Arabidopsis thaliana: one gene and its partners. The protein of the gene in region 4 binds, or shares a complex with, the protein of the main gene of each other region. Each region holds a gene or a part of one and is shown on either strand. Other genes may lie near its edges.

Region 1 (8,797 bases), 570 kb from region 4:
GTCCTTCCACAGTACTTTCCTCCTCCTGTTAAGCGAGTAGCCGTTGGAACAGATTTTGGAGAACAAGATGCTTAATTTGAACATAATAAAACTTATTACAATATTAAACCTTGAGAGAGATTAAATTAGCTTGATCAGACTTGTGCTGGAGGCTATCAGCAAGTCCTTCCGGTGTCTCCTCCTGTTACATTCACATACATACATACATAAGTGGTGTATGTATTAAAAAAAAAAAGTGGAGTGATCCGACGTTACTTTCTTCTCCTCGTCCTTATGTTTCTTGAGAAACGGTTTGGTCTCCAAATCATCATCTTCCGGATTTCTCTTACCTAAAAGAAGAGCAGATCAATGGAAAAGAAAAGAAATAAAATCAACAGCCAAGTAGATAGTAGCTCAGAGCCACTGAAAACAAACCACATAAATTAACTTCCTTGCTAGAACTGGCCATGGAGACGGTGAAAACAGCGCCAATTTTGTTTTCCGGCAAGGCAATTGACTCAAAGTTATAATAACAACCCTAGAAAGAAGGTAAGATACTTGACAAAAAAGAAAGAAAGAAGGTAAGGTATTCATAACAACAATAATCTGGTTTGGGCTAGGCCTGGGCTTTTATTGCCACCAACCAATCTGGTTTCATAACAACAAAATAATCTGGTTTGGGCTAGTCCTGGGCTTTTTTCCACAACCAAGCAAGATTCAATTCAAGTCTGGGATCAAGTGTGTGTGTGTGTGTGTGTGTTGTGTTAAGTGATCCTGTAAAAGGTGTATGAACCAGTCATGTTGATATTATGTGTGAAACTGTGAACCGGTTTGGTAATAAGCAGTAAAAAAAATAAAACTTTCAAATTGTAATACCAAAACATGGAATAGTTTAATCTTGGCGGCCCATAATACTGAGAAGCCAAGTGGCAACGAATGGAGTGGGCTTTTTACGTTTAGGTCCTCTTGTTCATCCAATGATCTTTAGTTTTTGTCCAATAGATTGTGTAGGTGAGAACTGAGAATGAGAAGTCAGGAATTCATCACCATTTTTTTTTTTAATTTGTTTTACAAACAAAGACAAAACACTGTTGAATCATCTAACCTTGCCGTTTAATTTAGAAAAAACAGAACAAAAATGTCAGAACTTTTGTGTAGTTGATGTTATTCTTCTGTCTGATTAGTAGGAAGCAACAATGAATTTAAACACCACATGCATCTTCTTTTTGAACCAACCAAAGCAGACTCTCTCAACATTATCTCTCAGCGACAAGTTTAGTTCAGATTCCTCTAGAACCCATTTTCAGATGTCTCGTCAGATTTCCGGCCAACCCTCTCGCCGTCTCATCGTCTCCAATGCTGCTTCTTCTCCTTCTCTCTCTGGTGGCTTCCCAGGTTTCTTACAAAAATTGTTCCTTTCTTTCTACTTAGAATTCAGATTTCAATTGATGAATCTTTCTGTTCGTGTTAGGTAACTACCATATTGAGGTTTCTTGACTCACCTATGAGATTTAGTATTCTGCTAATTGTGGAACATTTGAGCTTATAGTTCCAATTGGATGAAATTAGATTTGAGTAATCTCTCTGTGTATCACAAATTGTTCCTTTTTCTCCCATAAAGATCTAATTTTATATGAGTAATCTTCTTGTTTCATGAATATTTAGATGCTGGAGCACATAGTAAAGAGGAGATGGAAGCTGAAACAGAACAGGATCCAATGAACCTAGCTGATCCAGACAGTTGTTTCTGTGAGTTTCAAGGTGTTCATATACACCACAAAGTGTTAGATCCACATACACTCTCTGATGATGTTTCAAACACAAGCCCTCATGCTCAAGAAACACCAAAAACCAAGTTTCCGATGATTCTATTGCACGGTTTCGGCGCTTCTGTGTTCTCCTGGAACAGAGTTATGAAGCCATTAGCTCGTCTCGTTAGTTCAAAAGTTCTTGCCTTTGATAGACCAGCATTTGGTTTGACTTCTCGGATTTTTCACCCGTTTAGTGGTGCTACCAATGATGCAAAACCATTGAATCCCTACTCCATGGTGTATTCCGTGCTCACTACGTTGTATTTCATCGATGTTCTTGCTGCCGATAAGGCGATTCTTGTGGGGTAAGTAAGCTAGTAGGTTCCATATACTTTGCATTTCTTATTAAAGTGCCACCATAAGCTGAGATTGTTAATTCATATGTTGTAGGCATTCTGCTGGTTGCCCTGTAGCTTTAGATGCTTACTTTGAAGCCCCGGAGCGTGTTGCTGCTCTCATTCTCGTCGCTCCAGCTATATTCGCTCCCCGTCCTGTGGCCACAACTGATGCTGGAGAGAACCGTGACAAAGAAGCTCCCACTAGCAACTTTCTAGGGACTCTAGTTGAGTTAACCAAAGGTGTTATAAGAGCAGTATTGAGAGTGGTAACGGGAATGGCGAATATGCTGAGTTCTCTCTACAAGAAAGCTTTAGCAGCTTTCCTCAGATCCTTCCTTGGAGTAATGCTGGTACCGCTTTTTTTTGTCTTGGCTTCATTCACCAGTCATGTCATTTTTTATATGTTGTTAGACCAGAACACTTGATGTGTTTCTAAGGTGGTTGTTTTTTTCACCAGGTGAGGATGGCAATCAATAAATTTGGAGTAACAGCTGTTAGGAACGCGTGGTATGACTCAAAACAAGTGACGGATCATGTCGTGCAGGGTTATACAAAGGTGAGATTTTCGGGTTTTCTCAGGTTTCTTTATTTCTTCTGCATTGTTATGTTAAAAATTTAGGAAATTTGATTGTATTTGTTGCAAAAAAAACAGCCTCTTAAAGCCAAGGGATGGGACAAAGCTCTCGTGGAATTCACGGTGGCTACACTAACAGATAATAATGGCTCAGAGAAAAAACTCCCATTGTCTAAAAGGCTTCAAGAAATCAAATGCCCTGGTAATATCTCTTTCTATAAGATTCTGACAATGAATTAGAAATTGGAACCAAATATTGTGCATTGTATGTCTGAACTCTGAACCAATGACATCATACTATCTTCATGTTTCTAATAGTTCTGATTGTGACGGGAGATACGGACCGTATTGTGCCAGCATGGAACGCAGAGAGGCTGGCACGAGCCATACCGGGATCAGTGTTCGAAGTAATTAAGAAATGTGGTCATCTTCCTCAAGAGGAAAAACCAGATGAATTCATATCTATTGTTGCAAAGTTTCTAGGGAATGCTTTTGGAGGGTCACAACAACAAGACGTGGACTTGAAGTTCCAAGGCATTGTATCATGAAGTATAACTATATATTTTAGCTCAATCAAGACTAAATTTTAGAGAGATTCTTCATGTTATTGGACCTGAAGAAACAAATGTCGACAATATCAAAGACTAGATAGATATAGAATAAAATAACCGAGAGACATTGATTCTTCAACAGATTGATATATAAGCGAGAATAATACACCATGTGGTGCTTCTTGCGAGTGCGGGCAAGTTTTGCAGAGTCCAGTTGATTAGCTTGGAGCTTGAAGCTGGCTTGAAGCTCCAACTCGTCAAGCCAACGCAAAGTTTCTGGAAGAACAAAGTCGGCAACATTTTGAAACTCAAAGCGAGGGGTGCAAAGGACTGTGCAGTCTTCCTCAGCCAAGAGGGCGACATGCTTCTTGTTCGTCAGAGTAGCAGCAGTCTCATCTTCCAGATTCTTCTCATTCGCCTGAGCCATGTACTGCCTGAACTTTTCGAGATAAGCCAAACTAGGGGCGCATCTCATTGCAATAGTAAACATGTAACCAAGAGCATCCACTTTCAGGCGCTTGCACTTGTCCAGTGAATCACAATCTCATGCGGATACTGTGAATCAGTTTCCTTGCATATAGCAACTTGTTGGCGAGCAAGAGACAAGTGAGTAGGATCAAATCGCTGATAGAGGAGGCCACCGGGATGAGTTCGATTGCGGGGAGGAAACTCTCTAGAAACCTTAGAGAGCATATGCATAAAGGTTTTCCCTACGCACCTAACCGTCTCGACGGAAGTCTTATGGATAAGGTCAAACTTAGGGCAAGCCTTGGCCTCGAACCTGACAAAGAGTGATCTCGTAAGGTCCTTGAGAGAAACAGATACGATGGCATCAACAAAATCCTTTTCAGTTAGAAGGACACTCATCTTCTTGAAAATCATCATCTCATCCACCATCTCTGCTTTATCTATCTGCACAAGTACGAGTCCAAAATATACAGGAATATCAATCATCAACTCATCATGTCTACATATGCAGCTAAATTTCAATTCTATGCAATGCAAACAGAGACCATTGTTTTACCAAACCTATGCTCTCACTTATGTTTATCAATAAAGGCCACAAAATTAGGGCTTTTCGATTTCCAATCAAAGACTTTCGGTTGTATCCCCGACGTACAAAATCTAGGCCAGAATTCTTAACAGCTCAACGTTTAACCCATCAGGTTTATCGATAACTAGCACTAGGAAAACAAAATTTACAACAAGGAAAATTGAAGTAGGTACCTTGAGAATTGGGAGGAACTATCACGAGGATTCGCGAGATTGAGGATGAGGGAAGGTAACTCGTAACCCTAGGAATTTATCACTCTGTTATATTTCACCTCATAAGTGATATTAAAAATTACAAAATCTTTGTATAAACAGATTTAAAAAGTTTGCTTGCCTCGCAAGTTAGGTTTAGGGATGGTCAAATACGAGAAGCCCTTTTGTCCTAATAATTTTCTTTTTTATTTTCATAATGAAACATGAAGAAAGTGAAAAAGGGATTTTCCCTTGTCACAATTATGAGGTTCTATTGTCACAAAACCGGACCAAACCGGGAATTCACTGGACCAGAAGTACCAATAAATACTGGGACAAAAGAATAGAGCATCCTAAGAAGTTTATGTTGGATCTGTCAATGCACTTTTGTTGTATATTAACGCCTCTGAATGGTCGTAGTAATTGTATAGATCATCCGAAGGAAAAAATGGACTATCTTCGTGTGGCGGGTCTCTTGAGTTGCGGTTTCTGAACTTTATTTTGCTTTGGGATAGTTTCCAGTACTTGTATCGTCCTCTGTCTCTTAGCTGTTCAAAAACAAATGGGTCATTAAGAATTAGGTGTATTGTAATAGTGGAAATATTGAAATCTCTTAAGACGATTTGACTAACCATTCTCATGTTGGTGGTAGCTCTCTTGGAGTTTCCGCTTTGCAAACTCAAACTTTGAGTCTGGATCCAGAGCTTTGAGTTTCTGAACAAAGACAAGAACACTTGCTATTAGAAACAAAACAGATTAATAATCAAACACCACGGCTTTATTAACTCAAACACTCACATCTTGTTGAGGTCCAGCAAGTTTCCGCTTTTGCTCAGTAACAGCAGTTGGTTTTCGTTGGATTGCGGATACCATTTGTTCTCTACTTTGCTTTGTTTGTCTTTTAGGCTCGACAACATCTGTGGCTGAGTGCTTCATAGGTCTAACATCAGCTTCTTCTCTCCTCGTCTGTTGATCATTGCAGTACCTCCCAACCACATTTGCATCATTTGTTCCCTTGGGTCTCCTCCCCGCACTACTTTGCGATTTTCTTTCATGTTTGGACTCCACACTGTGACGAGGATCTGAAAACAGTGGCCACCATGAGTGTCAAAATATAGGAAAACTTTCAAGTAGAGAACAGAGTACCAAAGAGTATACTAACTCACTTCCATCGCAGTCCAAACAATCTAAGATCTTCAAGTGACCCAAGACATTATGAAACAAGGACGAGGGAGGAAACTTGTCAGGATAACATTTCGTCTATGCCAGAAATAAAATATGATGAGAGGGAAAAATGTTAATAGACCTGAGAAAGTTCAAACCCATTAGGTTCAGGTGCATAGATATCTAAATCATGTGGAGGAGAAGGAAAGGCTTCTTCTTCATCAATTACTGAAAGGTTTAGAGACTCTGGCGTCCCTTCAGTGCCTGCAAGACCCAATTACTATAAATCTAGACCAAAACCTGCTCGCACTGACTACGGAACAGGAGGAGAGAGCTATTTACCAGCCATTTCCTCTGGGGTGTTCATCCACTGGTCCACCAGCCTCTTCCACTCTCTGTGCATCCCATATATAAAAACACAATCTTTATACTCGGGAGCCAGAAAGTAAGGAAGAGTAAAATGTTCTAAGTATTGAGCTAACACAAGAGCAGCTCCCTAATGATCAACCAAGGCTTTTATAATGACATTTTACAATTTGAGACATCCTACAAGGCAACTGGTTTGCATCTAAATCAAACCGTGGAGGTTCAATTTTTTTGGAACATTTTGCCAAAGTTTAATTCACATCACAGATGCGAGAGTATGAGAACAAATGAAACTAAGCACACAATGAGAATGATGAAACTCATACGCGAAAAGAGTCTTTGCAAGTTTGCTAATCTTATCGGAACTATGTCTCCTCAGACCATTAACAGCCTTTCCAATTTCAGTATCCTGCAAGAACGTAAACACTTAAATCACTCCACAGCCTCGAAAAGCTCCATCAGAATAAGCAACTTCCACTACACCAAATCATACAATATCAAAACAACACCAAAAAAACAAACCTTAAGAATGTCCACACTCATAGACATTGACTCAAGCTTTCTCAGAGATTCGAGTAACACAGAATCTTTCTGCAAAAAAGATGACAGAAACCAAAAACTCAACAATCAACACAAAGATTCCAAATTTAACCAATGAATTAGCACAAGTTTTAATGTAATCCAAGCAAAGAGACTAAAAACCTCATCGTCTTTGTTCGACAAGATATCTCTGATCCTCATAACCTCATCAACACTCACAGACGCCTCTTCACCTTCACCCGTCGCAACACCAGAATCACCCCTATCACCGCCGCCGCCAACTCCAACTATCTCCACCGCCGCTTCGTCTCCAGCTATCGAGAGCTCAAGGTGGTCACAACCAATGCAGCGACTCACTTTACAAGAGAAGAGAAGCTCAGCAATTCTATCACTCCTGGATTTAAACTCCTTTGGCCAATCTGCAGCAGCTACCATAATCGCATGATCAATGATACCAAAAATATCAGAATCTCCTCGCCGGAAATACTCTCTCCAAGTATCCAACGAAACAGATGGTCTCATCTTCGCCATCACGAAACGGCGAGGGAAAATCGATTCCGGAATCCGAATTCCTCGATCTGCAAAACCCTAATTAAATTTGAATTTAGGTTTTTGAATACGAATCAATATAGTACTAGTTGTGTAGTTTTTTTTTTTTTTAAGTTTCTCTGCAGGAAATAAAATTCGCCTGAGAATCTGACAAAAGTTTCTGCAGAAAGTCCACAAGAACTTTCCCGAGAAAACTTAAAGAAACAGAGCTTGAGCCAATTAAAAGAGGGCAAGAGAAGAAGACCCTAGAATTTTAAAAAGCCAGAAATTTATGTCGACATTAAAAAACTTAGGTTATAAAAAAAAATGGTAATAGTTTTGATCATTTATCTTGATAACTCATCTGTTTTATTTAAGTAAAATATTGAATTTGTCAATATATATATTAATTCTAAAGATATAGGCTTATGATTAACTGAATGATTATTTAGTTAATAGTAAATTAGTAATAACTAGACTATACATGTGTCGTCCTATATGACATAATGACCCTTGATGAAAAACACGTCACATGGCCTAGCTAGTATAAAGATGGGATATTCGTTTTTTTAAAGTTATGTTATCAACATTACATTCAGAGCATACTGTAATAGTAAATTATTAACACATTACACATGTCCTGATACCAACAATGGGGTACTCATTTTTCAAAGTTATGGATAATTACATTTATCACGTGAATTACTTGAAAGGTAATCTAAATAAACGCGTTTTTGGTGTCGCAATTATGTCGTTTTAAAAAGCATTGTTCATAGTCCCACAGATGTTTAGCACTATTTTTTAATTAGTACTAGTATTAAATTATTATTTTTGTATTTTTTTCATTAAATTTCTCGTTAGTTTCGTGCTTTGACTCTTTTGTTAAGCTTCAGCCACATGTTCCCGTTGTTGAAGCTGTCTTTTGAAGTTTCGTCGTCGATATCATCCTCGACTCTATTTTCAGTTGCGTTAAAGACTTCTCTTCTTCCAAAAGTTTCCTTTTCTTCTATTTTAAATATTCTTTCAGCACTTGGAGATTCACAAGTTTGTCGGATCAATCCATTTTAACTCCGGTAAGCCATACTTGCATGATTCGTTTTGTTTCCACCGATCACATGTTATCGTTTATGCTCCATAGCTTAATCTTTGACTCATTCATGATCTTTTTTTGGTTTAATGTTAAAACCCATGCATGATCTTGTTTCTGCATATTTTTGTTTTGGTTCAGTGTAAAAATTTCTGCATAATTTTGGTTCTACAAAAATAGCTACTATGCAAAAGCAAGATCACGGGGTCAAAGATTAAGCTATGGAGCTTAAACACTACTTGTATTTGACTATTTGTTTCTACGTCATTTGCGTTTGATTTGAATCTAAAGGCCTTTTAATCGATTTCTTGTCATGTGTTTGTAAGGGTTCAGTGTTTTATGTATCTTTCAAATTGTGCTTCTAGTGTATCCATTTTGGATTTGTGAAAGTTGTTTAGGGCTTATATATCTAAAATTGTAAAACCTATTTTAAATTAATATAACAAAACAGTTTCGGACTTTTAACTCATAATATCTCTTCGAATTTAGTTCATTTTCCAACTTTGAAATTCGTTGGCTTGTGATCTTGAAGCCTTGTTCCGTCCGGAATTTATGTTACTTAGTCACCAGTAGAGTTACAAACGATGAGTTATTTTAATCTTTTTTCTAAAAGG
Region 2 (7,233 bases), on a different chromosome or scaffold from region 4:
AGGTAATGTTCTTATTAAGTTTTTGAAATTACCTACAAATGCATCTTTTTATGATTCATATATTACAAATTCTTAGTACAGTTTCTAATTATCTTGTCATTTTCGATTTAGATGGAAATTCGATCAGATCTGATGGATTCTCATATATATGCCTTCAAGAGGTTGGTCAGATCTGCTTTCCTGCTATCAAAGTAGTTTTATCTGTCGATACTCAATATGTTCTTTTGTCTTACAGAGCAGTTCTGCAGGAAGTTTTGGATCAAAAACCTGCTTTTAGGAGCCTAAAACAGGATGTACTACCGTATCTTGTTCGTACACAGCTGGTTAGTCGGATACGGTCCTTGCAAATGACCATTTTTTTTTTATTACCATTTTGATTCCTTATTTGTGCGGTTTCCCCTTGAGTATCAGAGATCAGATGTCTTCTCTGACCAAAGTAATGTAGAAGAAAATGGGAATGGAAATGGAAAAAATAATATGCAGAACAACGAGGTGGTCTTGTCTCAAATTCTCTCCAACGCATCCATGCCAAGCTTTCATCAAGTCTATGAATCAGGTCTGGGTACCCGGAAAACCCATAAATGCTGTGTTTATATAGCGGATGAAAGTAAGTATTTCGTCCGCTTGAATAGCATTCAAGCCTTCATGGACGTAAACAGAGATGTAAGTTGTTTACACATGGGATTCCTTCTCCAGTATTTTTTTCTCAGTTGACTTATGAAGCTCCGCAATTGTTCAAACTTGTGCAGGTTATTGGTGAATCAAACCACCTATCTGGATACTCCTTTTCTGCTCATCACAACATTGTCCACCCATCAGCTGAGCTTGGATCGAAAACCACAGTACGTAACTCTACATGTGTAGATATTGAGCATTTGTTCTGTGAGTTGTGATCGTGAATAACAATTTTTGGGTTGCAGGTTGGACCTCATTGTATGCTTGGAGAAGGCTCTCAAGTCGGTGATAAATGCAGTGTCAAAAGATCTGTAATTGGGAGACATTGCCGGATAGGCTCCAATGTGAAGGTAATAATTAGCTTTTTACTCAAGCCAGCCAAAGAAAGGTGGTGTACATCTCGAAAAGACACTCAACTGCTTGTATATGTGGGTGCAGATTGTTAATTCAGTTGTGATGGACCATGCCACAATTGGAGACGGATGTTCAATACAAGGCTCAGTCATTTGCAGCAACGCACAGCTTCAAGAGCGTGTTACTCTAAGAGACTGCCAAGTACGTTACCCCCTTCAGTTTTCATAATACAGTGTCCCCTACGTATCAATGCTTTTACAGATTCCATAATCAAAACATCAATTGGTTTTATAGGTGGAAGCAGGGTATGTTGTTTGTGCCGGGAGTGAGCACAAAGGAGAGACCTTTGCTAGAAAATGAAAAGGAAGGATAAGCAAATGAGGTCACATCTTGGAACGCTTTTTTAAAATGAAAAGCAGCATTACTTAGTCATTCGTTTGGTAGGAGAGAAGAGTGTGAAGGATTGGAAAGTTTCCCACTAAGGGTTTTGTTGATTAAGAGTTTGAGATTTTCCGTTAGTATCTTTTACTGATAGAGTTTGATCTTTTGCTATTCATTACATATACATGAAGTCTTGAAACACTTTGTCAGCCACTGACCCTTCTCTCTGTTCCGTTGGTTATATTACATATGTCTTTTTTTGTTCTTCTCATTATTTACTCTTTTGTTCGAGATAAAACACTTTCCTGAAAGATCTAAATTTTGTTTTTGGTATTTCCATAGAGACGAATACACCCAAAAAGTCACATGCCTTCAGATTCGATAAATTTCAGAGTAAATGATTTCGAATGTATGAAACCTTTCTGTTTAAATAGTCACGAGAATAGATAAACTTCATAGCTTGTTTAAAGTGTAACAAAATGTACAAGTTGTGATTCTTCTTGGCGAACTTTTCGTTGCTTAACCCCTCCTAACTTCTCCCACAATGCAATTTTTATTTAGAGATTAAACCTGCAAAACCAAATCCAAATCATTTTATGTTATGTTGAGACAAATCTACACCATATAGAAACATTTCTAATTATTTGAGACTCCAAAATAAAGTTAGTGCACTCTCGGTCGCTAGAGTTCCAGGTTATCTTCTTATAAGCCTTAGACAATAATTATTTCTTCATGTTTAAAACAACCATAGCTTTGTTGACTCAATCATATTCATCATGTACAGTACCGTTGGTTATGACAGACGCAGCCCCATATGAGAAACGTGCGTTATCTAAAGATGAGAAGATGACTCTAGTGACCGAGTTACCTAACAAAGTTAGCTGCTTCTAAGCCTCTCCATGACACCTTGGGTGTGCAATACAAAAATGAAAGTGTGCACGGCTTCAGCCTCCAACCTACATCGCTCCCATCTCATCAAGCTTTGAGCTCTTATGCTGCAAAAAAGTTAATTTTAGGGCCGACAAAAATAAAATTTGCAGAGCAACACCAATGTGCGAGTAACCAGAAACTTCTAAATTCAGCTTCACTAAAAAGAAGGAGATGCCTCCATTGCCATTAGTATATTACCTTACTCTTTTTGTGCCTCTGAACGTCATCAGCATCTTCAGTCCCATTGTTCTTCCTTTTCTGAAAGTAAAGTGATAGCGTATACCACGTCAATTCTATCGAATTTAAGAATCCAAAATATACATATATAGACGGCCTAGGTACCAACAAGAGCAGACAGTTTTATAACCTTATCATGGTGTCCACTTTTTTCCTTCTTTTTGTCTCGATCCTTGTCTTTATCCTTATCTTTGATCCTATCTTTATGCTTGTGCTTGTGCTTCTTATGTTCCCTATCTTTCTCCTTCTTGTCTTTATGTTTTCTATGTTTCCTATCCTTATCTTTTGACTCACTTTTTGATTTTGATACAGTGGTAGGAGCTCCCTTCTCTGCCTGAAATAAGAACAGGAGATCTCATATTCTCAAACCTAGCTCAACTATCATCACAAGATACTTGGAAGTAATTCAACTTATCATGGTTAGTAAAAGATCTAGATGTTACAGGAAGTTAAAATCTAAACAGAGAGAGCAATATTCTTACTGGAGGCAATTCAACAGGAGCTGTATCATTAAGCTCAAAAGCCTCCTTAAGTTCATCAAGAACAAAAGGTTGGATGCGAGCATTCGTATCTCGGCTACTAAGTGATGCATTAGGAATAAGCTGATCTAATTGCATTCCTTCTCCTTTTCTAATCTCTGTGTCTCCAACCAAATTATGAAGATAATGAGCATCTGACAGTGACTCTGGAAGTGATCTCTTGCAAAAGAATTCATGGTGTGGCAACAACTTGTATTGTGTTATAAGATCTAGTGCACCACCCAATTCTCTAGGACCTGCACTTAGAAACCCAGAAGCTCATTGACCCTCAAATCCCAAAATAATAAAACTTGACAAAAATCAAAGCTTGGAAACCAAATTTACCTCCAAACTTAACGCTCTCTGATTCCATATTTTTTTGTTGTTGTTGATTAAACTGCAATTATTGGAATTTGAAAACCAAACAAGCCAAAGCTCAATAAGCTCAAGATTTGACGAAAAGCGAAAACAAAGCTGAAGCAAAGATCAATCACCGCCATACATGACTTCACGAGGCAGATCTCATCGCAACCCAGAGATATAAACCCTAATCTGGAAAACGGATTGCTCTTGGTCGTGAATTTCCCGCGGGAATATCGAGGAACGTTCGAGAAGGAAGTAACTAGGGTTTGAGAATGGATTAGGAGTTTCCTCAAACAATGGCGTTATAAAATCGCGATTTCTTTTTCTTCTTCTTCTGTTTTTTTTTCGTCCAAAATTTTGTTATTTATACGGGTTACCGCGTGGGGTTCACGCGCTTCATAGTGCGTATGATCAACTTTACAGATTTCACAACGACTTTTTTTACATTTGTATTTTTATTTTAATAAAAATTTCAATTTTCTTATAATTTGCATTTTTAATCACATAGTTAAAAAAAAAAAAAAATGCTAATATAGCCGTCAAATAATTTTTGTTGCAATCGTCAATAGCCACCGATTAAGACGGTGGTCAACTTGTTAGTGGATATGGCCACGATTAGGTGGTGGCACTCAGTTGCAAGATAGCCACTGTTTTTCATATGGTCATATGTATGTGTATTTGTGGCCAAATAATTAAGACCAATTTGCTAAGGCCAAAAAGTGATTCGTTTAGTCATTGCTATTGTTCGGATCCTTTATATTGAAGTTGGAGAATGATTAACCAAAGCTAAAATCACCCAAATGGCCAAATCGTACCAGCAATCAATGCATGATTTCTTAACTCTTGTTTCTAAAACTATGATCATCCGACAATTCTCAATTTATCGAAGATTAGTTAAATGGATTCTGCATCTGACGGTTTGGTTAAGTCATGTTTTATTTTGTTCTCGTATGATGTAGGAAGAAGTCAAAATGTATCACAACACAACACAACCAGGGGTATCTTAATAGATGATGCACATAGAACAGAACGTTTTTTTTTTTTGTGTGTGATAAAGAAGATTACAGAAACGTTACACTACTGTCTTTACACACTTGAGACATATTTGCTATATCGCTGAAGAGAGAAAGATTCCGACTTTGTAGAAGAACAAAGCCCTAGTTTGGCCTTATACAACAATTAATGTAGGTCAAGATCCTCTTCTTCTTCTGCATGGTAATTAAATTAGTAATGTTAGAGAGACTTATGACGGTGACAACATGCTTCCTCTTAATACATTTCACATATTGCATAATGCTTCGTATAACAAGGTGATTTCGACTGTTATACAAACTAGAGATGGAGTTTTCATATTCGCTCTAGAAAAGCAGTGTACATTTCGTTCATGTTTGCCTCTTCAAAGTTTGGAGGCTCCAAGCAAAACAAATTTATGTAACTCCCAACATATAGTTAAAACATAATGCAAAGATTATAATATGATTCAGACTTTTAGTTGGTTTAATTATATTTTTATCTAACAATAGAAGTAATGAAATTTAGCTTAGGTGGGAATATAATGTTAAAATATGGTTGCTTATTGAAATGTTATGGAAAAAATGCAAAAAAAAAAACAAAGTTTTCCTAACAAATAAAAAGAAAGTAGAAAATGGGAAAATGGAAACGAACTATAAATTCATTGTTCGAACAAAACACATCATTTCAAAACCATGGAAACAAACTGCAAGCCAATACACTATAACATCAAATTTAAAGATACACTATCATTACATATTCATAAATGAGACCTGATACTATGATGCATGTATTAACTCATAATTAAGTTGAATAACATTCATGGTTCAATTATGTCTCTGAGTTAAGAAAGAAATGGAATGAAATATTCTTTTTAGGCGCATGCAAAAACACAAAACAAACAAAAGACGCAAAGAGAAAATCAATTCCTGAATTGTTATACCACCTTGTGATGATCCATGCGCGTTGACTAAGGGGAAAAGGATCATCACAAGGTGAATATGAACCAAAGAATCCATGGAAGAGTAAGTAGAGAGAGATAATTTAATTACCATGACAGGGTCATCGTCTTGAGTTTCATGGCGATGGTGAAGTTGTTGGTGGTTGCGACGAACACTTACCATGAGTTCTTGTTCGCTTCCCAAACTAGAATGTCTTACACCAGCTTTGTTCTGCTTCCTGTTTGCGCGAGCTTTAGAAAAGACAACCGAGTAGTTTGTAGCATCATTTGGTCCTTTTTGGTCCCACCCTCCGAACTGTGGAACTGGAGTCCATGCAGCATTCTGTATCCAAGAATAAAACTCGTTAGATAAACATATAATTTGCTTAGGGAACCAAATATTTCCGGAAAAAAAAAAAAGAACAATGAGATCGATGTTGAGATTGCATCGGTTAATTTTCCCCATTCTATAAAACGCGCATTAACCGATGAAAGCTCAACATGTCTCGATTGTAACTCAGACATCATAAAGATCGATGATTTAGTAATAGTTGGATAAAAGAAAAGAAACAAGATTTTATAAAAAAATTAGAGAGCATGCCTCCCTTCTTTTATCCATAAATAGATATTGCTTGGTTTAGAAGAAAGATGTTCTTAAACATTGATGAAGGTGTTCATGACGAGGAGGAGAACGATCTCTCTTGTAAAATTCCACTTTTTCCTTTATAGTACAAATTGTTTGAAATCACGATTTCATAGGAGCAGATTTAGGAGGTTTCTAAACTTGGAGGATCTCAAGCAATGGTGTTCCTTTATGTCCGGGGGATTTTTTAATACTAACTTTTGGCATCCTATTGGAAAAGGCTGTTAGGGGTCATGAAGACTTCTAAGCAAGTAGAAAGTTGTTGAGGTTGAAATGTCAATCTTAGTGTACTTTCATCATATCGTTACAAGAATTCGAATGGATAACGATGAAAATAATTAGTGTTTGCTTCACACAATTGGATTAGCTTTCTGATGCTAAAAATCAATAACTCTGTTTGAAGAGAACAATTAAATTGTGAACTTGTTTTGCTCATTTGTATAAATGAAGTTTTATAACTTCCTTGATTGGTATATATATGTTCATGAAGGCACATGAAGACTCTGAATATTATATACATGCATGAGTCTTATTACATAGTCAGAGTATCTAATATTAATTTATTAGAGAGTGAGCTTTTTCTTTAAAACATTAGATAGAAAGTAACGTCCTTATGAGCAATCTCCATTCCTCAGGCGTCGGTATAGATCCAAGTAACCCGGTGACTCTGGTCTGATTAACCTGCATAGACAAAATGGAACAGAATGTATTGCCAAAGGGAATTGGAGATTGCTCATAAGGATGTTACTATCCGCGGCGAGAGCATAAAAGTCCCGCAATATATAATGGTAAGTAACATGTTTCTTCTGAGGTAGAAATTTTGGGAGAAAAGAGTGAGTACCCGTGCCGAAACAAGAAGTCAATAATGACCAGGGAACAACTGTCCTTAAAAAAACTAGTCTTCCGAACCACATTAGCAACTTGAGCGACTGGAATCAACCTGAAGCTGTCAACTTCTCCATCTGCAATGTAATTAAGATTACTATGCTATGACAAAGTATATCTACCTGTCTATCTGAGCAAGATTACTGATTGCTTTACTAGTTATTGCCTAACCTTGATTTGTGGGAACAAAATCTTGAGGGAGTTCCAAATCATAACAAAACAGCACATCACGTGTGAAACAGTACCGATCGATATCCATGTAGGAAACAACACCGACCGCAATCGCCCTTTAAGAA
Region 3 (7,119 bases), on a different chromosome or scaffold from region 4:
CACACCAACCGATTGTTTGTTCGCTTTCACTTCATCCACGCTCTTGCTGTTATTGTTGTTTTCCTTCACCACAGCCTCATTATCCCTTGCCGCAACATCCTGCATACAAACATCTTCTGCAGCTACATGGTTCTCCTTTGTTTCACCACTAGTACGAGCATCAGATCCCCCTGTATCATCACCATCACTTTCAGACTCATTCTCCACAACCTCCTCGTTAGCATCTTGAGCAACCATATCCCGCCTCTCGAGATACTGTAATCTTCTCCTCATGTCACCTAACTCCCTTTCCATCAAAAACAACCTTTCCTTCAAAGTTAAATTCTCTTCCTCCAGTTGAGCAATATGGCTATCCTGATCATCCACTCGGTTTTCCAAAACATTGTTATACTCAGAACCACCATAATTCGGATAAATCATCTCAAACCGACTCAAATCATGATCCAATCTCCTCTCAACCTCAACATGCTCCTCCACATCACTCTCACTCGACCCTCCTTCATCTTCATCATCCTCCTCATAAGGTTCCAACTCATTCCCATCAGCTCTCAGCCTAATCAGCCCTTTCATAGAGCCATAACCATCAACCCCCCACTCCTCCTTCGCCATATCACCCAACACCTCCCTAGACGGCGAGAACATTGGCGTAGGCAACACCGCCGGTGTCACAGGGCATGGAGACACCAACTCAGCAATTCCACCAGATTTCTTCGCCCTGATAATAAACGAAGTCGTGTTCCTCGGCGCATAAGGAACATATCGGTTACCATACTTCTTCTTCGGATAAAACTTCCTCGTCTTTAACCTATTCTGAGACTGCAGCTCATTCAAAGTCGGCGGCTTGTAACCACCAGCACCAACCTGAATACTACCAGAACCAGGAAGTTGCTGAGGGTTATACATAGGAATCCCAGAGTTATGCATCCTCCTAATTTGCTGCTGCTGCTGCTCCATCATTGGCCTCTTGTCACTTGTAATCTTCTTCCCTTTCCAATTGTTCCGACTCATTTTCGAACCAAAGTTATTAGGAGCAAGATTCTGCTGATACTCGGAACTCAAACTCTGGTTAAGGTTAAAGTTGCGTGGATTCATCATCATTGGCTGATTGCTGTTCATCATAACCTGTGGTGGCTGCTGATTCATTCCCATAATCGGATGAGATTGGCCTAATAACGGACTCTGGTTCATAATCCGTGGTACCTGTGACGGCGGCGGCGGATTCATCCTCTGTTGCGGTGGAGGCTGACCAATCATCTGCTGTGGAGGTGGCGGATTCATCAGCTTAGATTGATCGTTCATCTAGGTGACACAAACACTAATTTCGAAACAAAAACCCTAATTTTCGCAAATCTCAAATCAAAAGTCGAAGCAAGTCGATAGATAGATCAATGGACAAGAGATTAATCTGAGTGCTGACGAGTGGAATTTTTACAAAACAAACCACAGATCAAACAAAAAAAAAATTACAGACAGATCAAACAAAAAAGCCAACAAGAGAAACACTAGGATTGGGATTTTTCGTAATTAGAATTTTGTTTGTTAAGTTTTTAAGATGAAGTTTTAGGAGTTTGAGAATCTTTGTTGTAATTTTGGATCTGGAAACTTTTTTTTTTTGGTTTGGGCAGAAGAAAAATAAATTAAAGGCAAAGAGAACCTCTGTGTACGAACGGCAGAAGAGATGATGAGATTCTTTAAATAGAGGCGACGAAAAGATGCCAAGTCCTAATCAACGATGGAGATGCGACACGTTTAAACCGACGGCTGAGATTATGTTTATATTTAAAGGGTAGAGTCGGTTACGGTTTTCTTTGATATTATTATTATTATTAGTTAGAAATATTTTAAATCATAAACCTAATCACTTGATAATTTGGCAAAATATTATTCAACCTTTTTCTGCTAAAGTTAATTTAACTTTAATATCAAAATTCATATTTGGACGTTCTACTTTAGGTAACTATGTTTTTTGCCTCTTTTTTTCTCTTGATGATGGTATTTTAATTATAATTTTAGAGAAAAGTGGACTATTTCCAAAATTTGGTTTTGATTGCAATCACACATTAGCCCCAAAATTTGGACTATATTAACAAACCTCCCTATAATTAATCATTCAATGGAGAAGAATCTCAACATTTTAAGGTATCAAAGTCATTTCTAATCCATAAGTGTTCATGTTCTTCTTTTATTCATATCCTTGAGTTATGCTATTTTCTTCTCCTTTCTTGAACCGTGAGTTACGTTATACGAGTTTCATCACATATCAAGTTTCGTATACCATGGTCCATAGCACACTCTGTCATGTTTGGGTCTTCTAACTGTTGTCAAAGATACGTCAAAGAGTCATTTCGTACAATTTCCACCAACAAGTGCAACATGGAAACCCCACTCCTAATTAATGTTTTACCGGCAGAAGCAATCTCTGCCAAGGACAAATGTTTGGCATTCCCATAATTTTTCCTATTGCTTCTAAGCTTCTCAAAAAAAATAAAGTGTTGCAATTGTCAAGATCGATAGGAACAAAGATAAAGACTGATACTGATTGGGGGTTGTTGTATATCATAGACAAAGATTGAACACCATATATGACAACTTCCATAAACGGCCTATGACACGGAATGAGTAATACCGAGTTTCCAACATTTTTGTAACCTGAGTCAAGTAGGCTTCCCTCCTAGGACATGGAGGAAACCATATCTGACGACTGACGCCATGGTGTATGCTTCAGGGCAGGAAATGCTTATATACCCTTCCTGACATTATATGACTCACATATTAGAGTGTTGCTTTTTTTCGTAACACATTTGCAGTCATCTTAAAAACACACACAAAATGGTCATCATTATCAAGAAGAAGAAAGGAGCACATACTTTCTCTTCCTACGATCAATTCCAGTAGCACCCATATTCCTAGTGTCATTCTTAGAAAGCATATTATTGTACTGCATTGGAGAAAGGGCTGGAGAGAGAGCAGCAGTTGCAGATGGTGCAGGTGGCAAAGAAGTTGAAGGTGCAACTGGTGGTTGTGGAGGTACAGGCTCTGGAAGAGGCCGAGGTAGAATGTGCTTCAGTCTGTTGTTTCTGTAGTTCTTCCAATAGTAAAACTGTTGTCTATGCGCCAATTCCTGGAAAAATCCAGATTCAACCGAAGACAAAGTTCAAAACTTAAGAAAACTTCAACAACAATAGATTTCCTATAAGAAATTCTGACAAAGGACATAAAGTTTAGAATATTAAACAACTTTCTCTATCTCATGAATAGATGGGCATAAACGCAGAATCACAGAACCAAACTAGCAGAACGTAAGCAAGGTTTTGTACTAGAGAGACCCTAAACTCTACAAGTCCCCAAAACACATTCCAAAAACACCAGTACCCTAACATTTTGAACCACTCCCTATTCACAATGCTCACTAACATGCTGATTTCACTTGATGATTCATATCGTATTCTTGTACCTTGTTTGCAGGATGAGCCATAGCAGTCCTGAAGTTGGGGTTTTGAAGAAGTTCAAGGAAATATAGGCAGTGTGGGTACCTGTAACAAGAACATAGGAAACCAAAGATATATTATCCAAACCTTCACAAGACTCTACAAGACTACACCAATTCCATAAGATATTCCAACTTACATAATGAACTTGATGTACTCTGGTCGCTGCCAGTATTGAAGATACTTCAAGTATCCAATAAATGCTTCATCTTCAAAATACCGATTCTGTGCCAGGTCTGCCAAACAGTAACCAAAAGCAGAATGTGGTAAGTACAAACCCTAAGCCTTAGAACAAATCCCTTTTTAAATCTCAATTTCGAACACTAAAACCCTAAGCCATAGAACGAATTCTAAACTTACAGTGGATGTAAGTAGGATTGGCGAGACATTGAATAAATTCAAGTTCCAGTAAGAATCGTTGCCTTCCACCGTCGGGATCCTTGTAAGTGTTTTTTGGCCTGTAGAGATGCGAATTAGATAATAAAAGAGCAGATTTGAAGAATATGAAAGTGTACAAGAGGAAGAAGATGCACTCACGGGGATGGAATTTCTGATGCATCATCACCCATCTCCTCTGGCGAAGCCATGAACGAACGGAACCTGAAGCAAATTTGGATTCTCCCAATAGAGGAATCAGACGGAGGTAGACGGAGGATTTTGGTTCTGATTTCTGAATTGAATTTTGGTTATAAACCAAAGGCCTAAACCGGTTCTGAATGCAAATAGAAAAAGAGATTGGAAAATTAGTACAAAATTACGGTTTAAGAAGCGGTCTTTTTTTTTTTTTTTCCACAAGAAGCGGTCTTAAAAGAACCGTTATACTCGGTAGCAGATGGAGAAGTCTCTGCCCAAACTTGGAGTTACTTTACATTCAAAGATTCACTTGGTGGCATTTTTAGTCATGTTATGAATCTCTTTCTTACTTATCTCAAGATTATGAATCACAAGGACAAATCTTGAATTTTGAAACATGGACCGGAATCTTTATGCAATCATACAAAAGTTTTTTTGTGACCAATCGATATAGATGTTGCAACTCTTTGTCATGCTAACTATGGTTGAGGATTATAGCAGACAGAAAATCTGAGGACATTTGGCTCCAATGAGTTGGCCCTCAAAAATGTATACTGTACATTGTAATGTTGTAATCCCCGCAAAATGTGACAGCTAAAAAGCTAGAGTTTCCCACAGTTAAAAAAAAAAATCAAAAGACAAGAGCCATCAGACCCTGGACTGACCTATGCAACTCCCAAGACAGTTTTCGTATCCAGCCTGCGTGCTGTACTCAGTTCTTACTTGCCAATCAACACCTTGTGCCAACTTGCCAAGACAAGTTCTGTTTCAGAAGTTAATGGCCTTCAAATTCAGGTGATGGCTTTACAAGTTTTCACCATAGCTTGTGAATCCCAATTGCTAAATCTGATGAGATGGAGACGAGCAGCGGATAAGAAGAGTGCCACTCGGCTTTGAACACTCTTTTCTTATGAGCTTTCATCGAGAGAGACGGGCTCGGTGCATTGTATCGGATATCAAAGATGTGGATCACGGGGTCTGCAGAACCAGATGAGATGTGTAAACCATCTGGAGACCAAGACTGATTAATTAGAGCCGACTGCGATTCACTGCTTTCTTGCTTCCACCCAAAAGAAAATAGTTCTGTCTGAGGCAATCTAACATCATACAACCGCAGTTGCCGGTCTAGCTGCCTGCAAACACAACACAAGCAAAAGAACGGACTTTAAGGCAATCGCTTCTTCTGGGATATATATAAATCAAGAGTCAGTTTTACCTCGTGTTAACCATGACAAGATTAACATCTCGCGGGTTTGGCATTATATTTGTGCATCTGTTGTCTAGTCTATGTTTAAATGTGACTTTTTCTTCTCGGGCATCAAACCCAACAAATCTCCTATCGTCTCCACATGACAAGACGTGATTGTTATGGCGCATTCCAGTAACTCCCATCACAGCCGACGAATGCAAGTCCCTATGCAGAAGCGTCGGCTTCCACGCATTATTCTCACACTGATCCCGCCATAACACTACTGCATGGTCACTCCCACCTGTGATGAAGCAAGGATCATCCCAAGGCGTAAACATGATTCTGTTGATAAGACCTTTGCTATGAGGCCTGTCCTCCATAAATTGCGACTCACATCTCTGCAGATGAACAGATATCCAAAAAGAAATGAGCACATAACTAACTTCCCCAAGGATAAAAGACTATAACCATCAAGTTAGATCTTACAACTAGTAGATAAGTCAAGGGTCGAATCAAATTCCCAATTATTCCAGCTATATTGATTTTTTTCTTTCTAACAGGTTATGAAGACCAAGTTAACTTTCTACAAGTTTAAGCACACACTCCACTCATGAATGTCCAATCGCAAATTTAATATGGTAAAACGCTAGAATGTGCTACAGCATTCATATACTTTTACCTCTCCAGCTTCATTCAGATATATGGCTGATATCTGAGGGTGACCATCATCTGCAGTATACACGGAGAAAAGTGCATTCTTATGTGGATGCCAAGCTATATCTTCTGCCCATTTCTTCTGATCTACTGCTACCCGATTAACCGTCTTAAACAAAGTAGCGGTGGACCTGCTCAATGGTGAAAGCATGATGGATAGGTTAGTATCCAACGAAATTCAGATTAAAATGTTCACGAAAATAAGAGTAGAAAAAATTGTACAAAACTCTATCTCTTAAGATCATGTACAACTAAACGTTGCAGCTTGTTGACAAATATAAGTGAAACTAAATTTCGCCTACTTATCACGTGGATGGATGAAGGTGATGTCAACTGGAACTAGAAATACATAATTAAAATTTCTGATACATATGAAAATCAAGGAATTCTATATGGATTTGAAGTTGAATAATCCAATAACCCCTCCTAAAACCATTTAAACCCCCAAGAAATCAGAAAGAAATATCATAATCAGTAGATCAGGCATATTTACAGGAGACTTACCTATCAGACTGAAGCTTCCAGAAATGAACAGCCCCATCCAATGCACTGAAGCATAACCAAAAACCAAAATCAAGAGAGGGAAAAGAAAAAGATTAAGCACATGAGTCGAGAGTATATTAGGTTAGCTAATTGACCAATGACTTTCTTGGTTCCATGATTCCCTCTTATGCATATAATATCATTTCCTTAGTAAAAAATCCAGACAAAGCCCCAAGCGACAGTTATGAGACCGAATTTCATCCAGGAGAATGGCAGATAATAATTTAGGTAGCATCTTCTATTCACTTTTGGAAAAGAGAAAAACATAAATAATGTAAAAAAGCACCTTGTAGCAAATAGCTCACGGTTGGAAGGAGAAAGAGCAAGACTTCTCATTCTTTTCGTGTGGCAACTTGGTAGCATGCCGGCAGTACGGCCTTCAATTGTGGGACGCAAAGAGCTTCTACCTATAAGTGCTATCAACTCATCATGTCCTCGGAATTCTGTAAAGAACAAAAGAAACAATAGATTCAGAGCAATGAGAAGGTAAGATGTGGCAAATCGACCAAATGAATGGCTTTTACCAGATTTTTCCTGTTGTCCTTGTTGAGAAATGTTAGAAGAAACTCTGATCCTTGGCTTTGCCAAATCCTTATTAGTGTGGTTATCTGG
Region 4 (7,494 bases):
GCTGCTGCACCGCATATGTTCATCAATGCGTACAAGAATGCCTTGGCTATTGCTGTTGCCACTGAGTACACCTTCCCTCAAGCAGAGAAGGTCAAGGAATACTTGAAGGTTAGTATGCATTAAAACTGTGCATCTTTTTCATTTTATTTCGGAAGTTTGGAGTACTGATTTTGTTTATGTTAACTCTCTGGAATGCAGGATCCAAGCAAGTTTGCTGTTGCTTCAGTAGCTGCGGTGTCTGCTGATGCAGGTGGTGGTGCCCCAGCTGCTGCTAAGGTAGAGGAGAAGGAAGAGTCCGACGAAGAAGACTATGGAGGTGATTTCGGTTTGTTCGATGAAGAGTAGATTTTGTCGGTTAAGATCTTACCTTTTTGTCGTGGATTATAAGTGTTGCTTTGTTTTTAGTATGTTGGACCTCAATTTTCTTGGTTTTAGCCAATCCAGTTTTATGTTACTACTGTCTTTTATTTTTTGGAAAGATTTCGTTTTCTTATGGTTGCTTTAATATTTTTCAATAATGTCTGGACGATGAATTTGCAATTTATCTATCCGTCGAGAAAGTTAAGAGCTTCTTATACATGACTTTGATAAAATTTGTATGAAGCAGAATCTTCTTAGATCTACAAGTTGAGTCATTTTATTTCTTAGAAAGTAGGCACAAATGTCATATTCTAAAAGTAAATGAGGCTAAACATGATAGAATGTAATAAAACTGAGATACAAATCAGAAACGGCATTAACCTTAGTCAGCAACCACTACGAGGGAGAAAGTGAGTGGGACTGAGAACGAATCAATCTCTCTGCATGTGTTGATGATATTTAACTTCTTCCTCTGCTTTCTTCGCATAGTTCCACACAAAACAACAAACTTAAATACTTCTTGAAAAAATGGAAGTCATTCTCAAATCCTAGAAATTCCATTTTTAGAAGGAGAAGAGTGAGTGAGTGAGTAAGAGAGAGAGAAGAGCTCGTCTCTGTAGTCATTAAATCAGAGAGAACCAATTTTAGTCTCAGTATAGCTATGGCGATATTCAAAACCCTATCTTTTCTGGTCCTTTTATGCTTTGAGATACATGGAACCGCAGGTGTGGATTTCACGTTTTCATTTGATGAATTCGTAAAATCTCAGAGTTTTGACAAGAGTGTTGCTCTGTTTGGAGATTCGAAGCTGGTCAATGACAGTTCTTCGATTCAGCTGACTGACTCAGTGAATCGGACCGAGGGACGAGTCTTTTACAAGAAACCCATCAATCTATTCCAAGGTAAAGAGAGGAACTCCGTTATTTTCTCGACTTACTTCTCGTTTTCGATGCCCAATGAGATTGGTGATGTCTTGGCTTTTGTAATGGTTCCAAGTACTTTGGATCTTAGTCTGTTTGGTAAGAAAGATTACAGTTCCTCTGCTTTAGGGTTTCTATTAGAGTATGCAAAGAACGAGACAGTTGTTGCTTTTGAGTTTGATATCTCCAAGAGAGGAAACCGTGCAAGAGTCTTAATTGGTAGACCTGAGTCTGCCAAAATTAGAAACCTTTCGTTTGTGGGTGACTTGATGATGGATGATGGAGGGATTTTGAGCTGTATGATTGATTATGAGGCAAGTTCTAAGAGAATGAGGGTTCGTTTCAGAAAACGTGGTTCGATAAAGATGTTTGATCCGTTCTTCTCTTTCTCGGTAGACTTGGAGAAGCTTTGGAAAGGTGGTGAAGTCATGGTGGGTTTAAGCTCTGCTAATGGGAACTCTTCCAAGCCACATTTTCTCCATTCATGGAGCTTTGAAATATGGCATCTTGATCCGATATGGGTGCAACCAGCGCCATTAGGACCAAATGAAGGTTTGAAGCCGGACGTTTCCACGGAAATGGAAGAGGGCCGAGAAAATAGTGAGTGTATATGGAGAATGCTTGGTGCTCTGGTCTTGGCTGCAGTATGTGGAGCCGTAGGGGCAATGTCAGCTATGTATCTTTGGACTATTTGCAGTGTTAGGCGGTCAATGGCCGTGGTTCCAGAGGAATGTGCAGTGAGCATTGTGGTCGTTGCAGTTAAAGATGGCAAGAAGTAATGAGAAGTTTGTTTGGCTTTGGCTTTGGTTTAAGAAGGTTGTCTTGTTGTAGTGTAAATGTAGTACCTTCTTCCACTTCCTCTGGTGTTATCTTTATTTAGTGTTTTCTTTTATTTGCTTCGTTAGTTGCAGGTTTCACATGTACAATCTCTATGAAAGAAGCCGTAAGCTTATTTGATCTTGCAAAATAACTTAATTTATTGATCTTGCATTTAACATGTTTTATATTTCTGGATCGGAAGCAAAAATCAACACCCACTGTCTTTTTCTCACTTTGATGCTGACTGCAACAGAGTAATGTGAACCGAGTTAAAAAAAAAGGTCTCTGTTCAGTCATCTCGTGAACAAAGATCAAATCTCTAGAAAGAAGACAACATTCACATGTTACCAGAGAGTAGAAAGAAAGAAAGTTAATCTAAACCTCAACATGGGACATCAACAACAAACAAGAGGTATATCAAGGAGAAGAGCAGATACTAAAGATCCATACAAAATGTTATTAGAACTTATTTCTAACCTTTCTTTTAATTGATCCTCCCTAATCACTAGAGTACTAGGTATCATCTTGAGAGCAACTGGAGTGGTAAGCTTCACAAACGTCCAGGTTTAATGCAAGAGGCAATTCTTGGTAAGCGCGGTGTAAAGGAGGTAAGATTAACGCAGACTTTTTATCCATTGCTAATAGCCTTCCACATTTACTGCATCATCAGAAGAGAAATGAAAAGTTAGTCCACGGGAAACAAATGTATTAGAAGAATTACGGAGAGTCTGCATACGTGCAAGGTTTGCTAAATACGGATTCAAAACTGCATATCCATAGCTGCATAAGAAGAAGAGAAAGGTGTTAATTAACTTCCAGACAAAAAAGGTTCATGTTATCCAGAGACTGAAGTGTGCTTGTAAAATGCTTTACCAGAAGAGAGTAGAGAGCTGTTCCAGTACCAAAGCCGAGGAAATATTGCAAGGCTGTAGCAGCATGTTCCTGCAAGAAAAATCTAATTAATGCAAGTCCCCAATGAATCAAATTTGTTAAACTATATATAATATCAATCGCATCTTTATTACCGTTATGTGTTTGTAAACATGATAAACCGAGAAGCCTCTCGCATGTAAGTAGCTGCCTCCCTGTAAGAAAGGGATGAAGCTAAAACATGAGAACTTAAACAATTTCACATGAGAATCAGTATATTTTAATGCAAGGAGGTTGGAAGTGACCTCATCTGGGGAGAAGAAAGCAACTGCATCTGGATCAACAGAACCCGCTGGACTCAACGAGACTATAGCTCTGAATAGAGAAGGAAATGATAACTCAATAACAGCAATCTTGTCGACAACTTCAGTCTGTAACCCTGATCTCAGCTTGCTAGAACTCTGGAAAATAGGTTTCGATGCTTCTGTAGGATCATCACTACCTGACCCAGGTAAAGAGTTAGCTCTTTTAAGCCAGTTCAATCGTCCATAAGTAGACACCTTCACACTCGGAACCAGCTTCTCTAAACGCGATTGTATATCTGGCAATGTTTTGTAATCAACCGGCTCCTCTCTTCCATTTTCTAATAGCAAATGGGAGGCACGATGTTTTTTTGAGCTTGGTTCCATCTTTAATCCATCATCAATATGAGGGAAGAATCGTCTTTTCTGATCCGTGAAGGCCTTGAGAGCTAACCTACAGTCATTATACACAACGCGAGAAAATGGAGAATGCATGAGATTCAGTAGAATTGGTTAGCTGATGAAACTCCAAGTTGGTACCACCAAGCTTCACTAACAGCCCTAATATGCAGACTCGAACCTAAACCCTAAGTATGCTTTAAAATGATTAGCAACGAATCTGATACCTGGTTCTATCAACAGCAGAAGCACCAGCTTGGCCAGCAAGCTGTCTTTTCCAAGCATAAGCAACGACTGCACCATCTGGACAAACCAAAGGCATGTGAAGACCCCAAGAGTTACTTCTTGACCTAAGTGATTCAGTTAACACTCCAGATTCTTCCAATTTCTTCCCTGAACCAAGCAATAAACATTGATCGATCCTTAAAAGCCCTAATCTAGAGAATCAATCAATACTAATGAAAATGATTCAGTTTTGGTTCAGCACCTATTAAGCGAAGATCCTGAAGATGTTGACGCATGGAGGCGTCTTCTCTGAGAAAGAGCTGAAGAGGCATGTCTGTGTGACGAGGTTGCGAAGCCACGAACATAGCTTCAAGGATACGGTCAGCGCCGAGGCGGATATCGGCGATAACCCTAGCCGCTTGATTGAGTCGTTCCATGGCCTGAGCCACCTGTTTCGGCGGCGCGTCCGATTCAGACTGATTGTTCGCCGCCTCGGCCGGATTCTGGAGAAGTTGGGACTGGTGTAGCGTCTGCATAAGCTGTGATTCAAGCACACTCTTTCGATTTCAATGAAATTGATCTTCTTGACGACGACGGAAGGAGAGGAATGTTTCTGGACTCGGAGAATTTCACGTTCAAATCTCAATCTACTGTAACGCCAGACGCAATTTTGTAGCGTTTGCGTTTCAAAGGCGTTTTTGTTGATATGCTTGCTTCTGCTCCTTCACGTCTTATTTTGTTTAATTTATTCCACTCTGTTAAATTGAGTTTTACTCCATTAAGCAATGCTTTATGGCTCATGTTGGACTGAAAATGTATTTTGTAATCTCAATGTTTGTGGGACTTTTAGTTTTTAGCCCATATGTACAGTTTGTTCACTTTAATATTTTTTTTTTTTTAGTTTGTACATGTAAAAAAATGGGAAATTTGCAAATATAGCCAACAAAAAAATTATAATTGCAAAACTAACACTTCAACCAATATGTATTGAACTTTATGCAATATTGACAAACTTAACCCGTGCGTGAGCACACGCGCTTATTCTTCTTCTTCTGAGTTTTCAATCGATAACTTCTATGTATTACTCTGTAAAAATTCAAATAGAGGTGAACATTCAGAGAAGTTACAGTAAGAAAATCTGAAAATTCTGGGCTTTAAAAAGCGACACCCGGGAAAGTTTCGAAGAGCAGACTGCGTGTGCAATCCGAGTGACGATTCTAGAGTTTACGAAGATTGAATTTGTGGGTTTCGATTTGGGGACTGTGGAGGCTTCGATTTCTGGCAATCGGACTGCATAAATCTTCTGCAATTGGAGGAGGAGCCTATCTAAGCATCCGAGTTTCGTACAACACTTATGTTGGCTCTTTTCTCAATCGAGGGTTTTTGATTCCGTTGAGAGTACTTGAGTGAGTTTTGTTGTACGGGAGTAGAGGTGTTTATATCTCCGTCGTCTCCACTGTAACACTCGAATTTCTGTGGCAATTGGTGTCGGCGAAGGGATTCAGCCAAATTAAGGTATGAAATGCCATTTTTTGGCTTTTGGGAAAATCTTTTTAATTTGTGTTGAAGAGCTTGAATAGCATAAACTCGGATTTGAGTAGCTTTAGGTAGGGAATCTGCTTGGTTAATACGATATTCATTTGTAATTGTTATGAAGGTTTAGGATTTAACTCTACTTCAATGTAATCCATTTGTGTTTGTTGATAGTAACGGAAGCTACTCAAATTGGTTGTATGTGTTAATGACATTTTTAGTTTTATTTGCAGTATTGAATAGCATAAACTCGGATTTGAGTAGCTTTAGTTAGTGAATCTTTGCTGGTTAATCCGATATTCCACTAATTGGTGTTATGAAGGTTTAATATTTAACTCAACTTCTATGTAATCCATTTGTTGTTGTTGATAGTAACGGAAAGCTGAGGCTATATTGGTTGAGTCTGTTAATAACATATATTTACATCTAAGATTTATATATTTTGTATTTGTGTAAGTAGCAGCATCAAAAAAGTGATACGTGGACATTTGTATTTCAGTGTATCTGTTCCATGGGGGATGTAGAGTTGCCAAAGCGTTTGTTTCGGCTAGGTTCTGAACCTGAGGGCCGAAAGAGGATAAACAATTACTTTACTCTTAGGTGGATTGAGATCATCAAGGCTGCTCTAGATCAAAACCATTTGAAGCAGCTGGAGGGTTCGCAGTTTGGATTTCTGTTGCAAATGGGGACGCATCAGTTTTCTGTAATGTTCTTACATTACATTCTATCTAGGCAGTTGGTGACAGATAAGAAGTATGAAATGTGGTGGGTGTTTGCAGGGAAGCCAATTCGATTTGCCATTGATGATTTTGCACTTGTTACCGGGCTTAACTGCAGCAAATCTGGATTCAACAAAAAGGATGCAAGGACAAGAGGGAAAATGAAAGCGGTTCAGAATCCTACGAGGTTCTACAAGGCATTATTTGGGAAAGAGAGAAAGCCTACTTCACAATGGATTGTTGGGAAGCTATCTATGGGGAAGAAATACAAAGACCCGTTGACTCGATTTCGCCTATCGTTGCTGCTACTAGTTGATGGGATTCTTTGCCCGACATGTTCGCGAACTATCATCGATCCTGACCATGTAGAGATGGTAAAAGATGTAGAATCCTTTCTTAAATATCCTTGGGGTAGAACTTCGTTTCTCGCGACTATTCGAAGCGCCAAGCAAAGAACAGCCAAGGAGCTTGCACAAGATACCACAGCTATACAAGGGTTTCCTCATGCCTTAGTTCTTGTGACAGTGGCATGTTGTCCAGCTATTATATACACGGCAGACTCGGTGTTTAACATTCTAGACCCAACCATTCCAGTCGAGAAGCTGGTTCAGTATGTATTGGGGCTGAGTTTGAACATCAATGTGCATGATGCACGAACTATCGACCAAAGTGGCATGGTAATTCTATTGTTGTAAAGCTTGTTCTTTGTATTTGGTGTAGAAAGATTGTGTACTTGACTTATCTATTCTATTGACTCTTAACTTTTAGGACCGGGTAACCTCACTGCTGAATGAAGAGCTCCTGGCGAAAGAGATCGACTTATCTTTCTCAGATGAGGAGGATGATGAAGAAGTTTCGCATCTGCTATCATTGATAATGGAGGAACACCCATTCGAGCATAACAGTTGGAGTGGTGGTGTTGATGCTAATGATGTTGAACATCCATCTGAAGATGAGTTCATGGCTGATGACTGTGTGAATCAGGCTAAGGGGGATGGTGACGATGAGATGGATGTTGATGGTTCTGGTGTTGCTGCAGAAGAGAGGGAAGAGTGTGCAGCCGGAGAAGGTGTAGACGGATTGGATGGTGAGGCGAATAAGGATGGACCGGTGACAGATAAAGATGGTGTCAGTTTTGCGGATGGAGAAGGGTTGCAGCAGGAAGTCCCAAGAGCTGGCGAGATGGAAAACAATGATAGTGGCTCTGCTGGACATGGTCTTAGAGAGGCAGTCATCAAAGAGGTAGCTGATGAGTTTGAGAAACGTGTTCTCAAGATTCAACAATCAAACAACGATGAATTGAAGTCATACTTTGAGGCTGAACTGGTTAAGCAGAAGAAAGAATTG

The links.
Region 1: AT3G09180 (region 4) and AT3G10820 share a complex: the UniProt entries of both Arabidopsis thaliana proteins name them as parts of the mediator complex.
Region 2: AT3G09180 (region 4) and AT5G19480 share a complex: the UniProt entries of both Arabidopsis thaliana proteins name them as parts of the mediator complex.
Region 3: AT3G09180 (region 4) and MED31 share a complex: the UniProt entries of both Arabidopsis thaliana proteins name them as parts of the mediator complex.

Annotation. Positions count from the first base shown.
Region 1 is NC_003074.8:3,385,660-3,394,456, reverse strand, and holds AT3G10820 (Transcription elongation factor (TFIIS) family protein), read right to left. Parts: upstream 7,258-8,797; 5' UTR 7,100-7,257; coding exon 6,731-7,099; intron 6,620-6,730; coding exon 6,551-6,619; intron 6,438-6,550; coding exon 6,355-6,437; intron 6,058-6,354; coding exon 6,005-6,057; intron 5,927-6,004; coding exon 5,805-5,926; intron 5,693-5,804; coding exon 5,665-5,692; intron 5,581-5,664; coding exon 5,297-5,580; intron 5,213-5,296; coding exon 5,131-5,212; intron 5,047-5,130; coding exon 4,953-5,046; coding exon of another isoform or gene 4,952-4,952; exon of another isoform or gene 4,829-4,951; coding exon 4,795-4,828; exon of another isoform or gene 4,549-4,794; coding exon 4,481-4,548; intron 4,305-4,480; exon of another isoform or gene 4,221-4,304; coding exon 3,764-4,220; 3' UTR 3,454-3,763; downstream 1-3,453. Other genes in the region: AT3G10845 (RNA-binding (RRM/RBD/RNP motifs) family protein), read right to left, coding at 1-25, 110-181, 256-329, 415-448; AT3G10840 (alpha/beta-Hydrolases superfamily protein), read left to right, coding at 1,176-1,374, 1,645-2,095, 2,181-2,478, 2,586-2,684, 2,781-2,904, 3,021-3,250. UniProt on the Arabidopsis thaliana protein: Component of the Mediator complex, a coactivator involved in the regulated transcription of nearly all RNA polymerase II-dependent genes.
Region 2 is NC_003076.8:6,568,063-6,575,295, reverse strand, and holds AT5G19480 (mediator of RNA polymerase II transcription subunit), read right to left. Parts: upstream 3,796-7,233; 5' UTR 3,469-3,795; coding exon 3,441-3,468; intron 3,353-3,440; coding exon 3,060-3,352; intron 2,912-3,059; coding exon 2,708-2,911; intron 2,599-2,707; coding exon 2,539-2,598; intron 2,406-2,538; coding exon 2,367-2,405; 3' UTR 1,673-2,366; downstream 1-1,672. Other genes in the region: AT5G19485 (transferases/nucleotidyltransferase), read left to right, coding at 1-2, 112-161, 236-323, 412-663, 750-842, 921-1,025, 1,114-1,230, 1,324-1,389; AT5G19473 (RPM1-interacting protein 4 (RIN4) family protein), read right to left, coding at 4,616-4,666, 5,522-5,875; NUDT24 (nudix hydrolase homolog 24), read right to left, coding at 6,800-7,014, 7,109-7,224. UniProt on the Arabidopsis thaliana protein: Component of the Mediator complex, a coactivator involved in the regulated transcription of nearly all RNA polymerase II-dependent genes.
Region 3 is NC_003076.8:6,728,747-6,735,865, forward strand, and holds MED31 (SOH1 family protein), read right to left. Parts: upstream 4,245-7,119; 5' UTR 4,076-4,244; coding exon 4,026-4,075; intron 3,947-4,025; coding exon 3,849-3,946; intron 3,725-3,848; coding exon 3,628-3,724; intron 3,534-3,627; coding exon 3,455-3,533; intron 3,390-3,454; coding exon 3,300-3,389; intron 3,122-3,299; coding exon 2,868-3,121; intron 2,751-2,867; coding exon 2,738-2,750; 3' UTR 2,490-2,737; downstream 1-2,489. Other genes in the region: AT5G19900 (PRLI-interacting factor), read right to left, coding at 1-1,299; AT5G19920 (Transducin/WD40 repeat-like superfamily protein), read right to left, coding at 4,876-5,194, 5,278-5,648, 5,930-6,095, 6,469-6,513, 6,794-6,950, 7,032-7,119. UniProt on the Arabidopsis thaliana protein: Component of the Mediator complex, a coactivator involved in the regulated transcription of nearly all RNA polymerase II-dependent genes.
Region 4 is NC_003074.8:2,816,215-2,823,708, reverse strand, and holds AT3G09180 (mediator of RNA polymerase II transcription subunit), read right to left. Parts: upstream 4,616-7,494; 5' UTR 4,432-4,615; coding exon 4,158-4,431; intron 4,064-4,157; coding exon 3,898-4,063; intron 3,726-3,897; coding exon 3,275-3,725; intron 3,185-3,274; coding exon 3,125-3,184; intron 3,042-3,124; coding exon 2,973-3,041; intron 2,880-2,972; coding exon 2,836-2,879; coding exon of another isoform or gene 2,817-2,835; exon of another isoform or gene 2,758-2,816; coding exon 2,613-2,757; 3' UTR 2,284-2,612; downstream 1-2,283. Other genes in the region: AT3G09200 (Ribosomal protein L10 family protein), read left to right, coding at 1-108, 199-345; AT3G09190 (Concanavalin A-like lectin family protein), read left to right, coding at 1,022-2,059. UniProt on the Arabidopsis thaliana protein: Component of the Mediator complex, a coactivator involved in the regulated transcription of nearly all RNA polymerase II-dependent genes.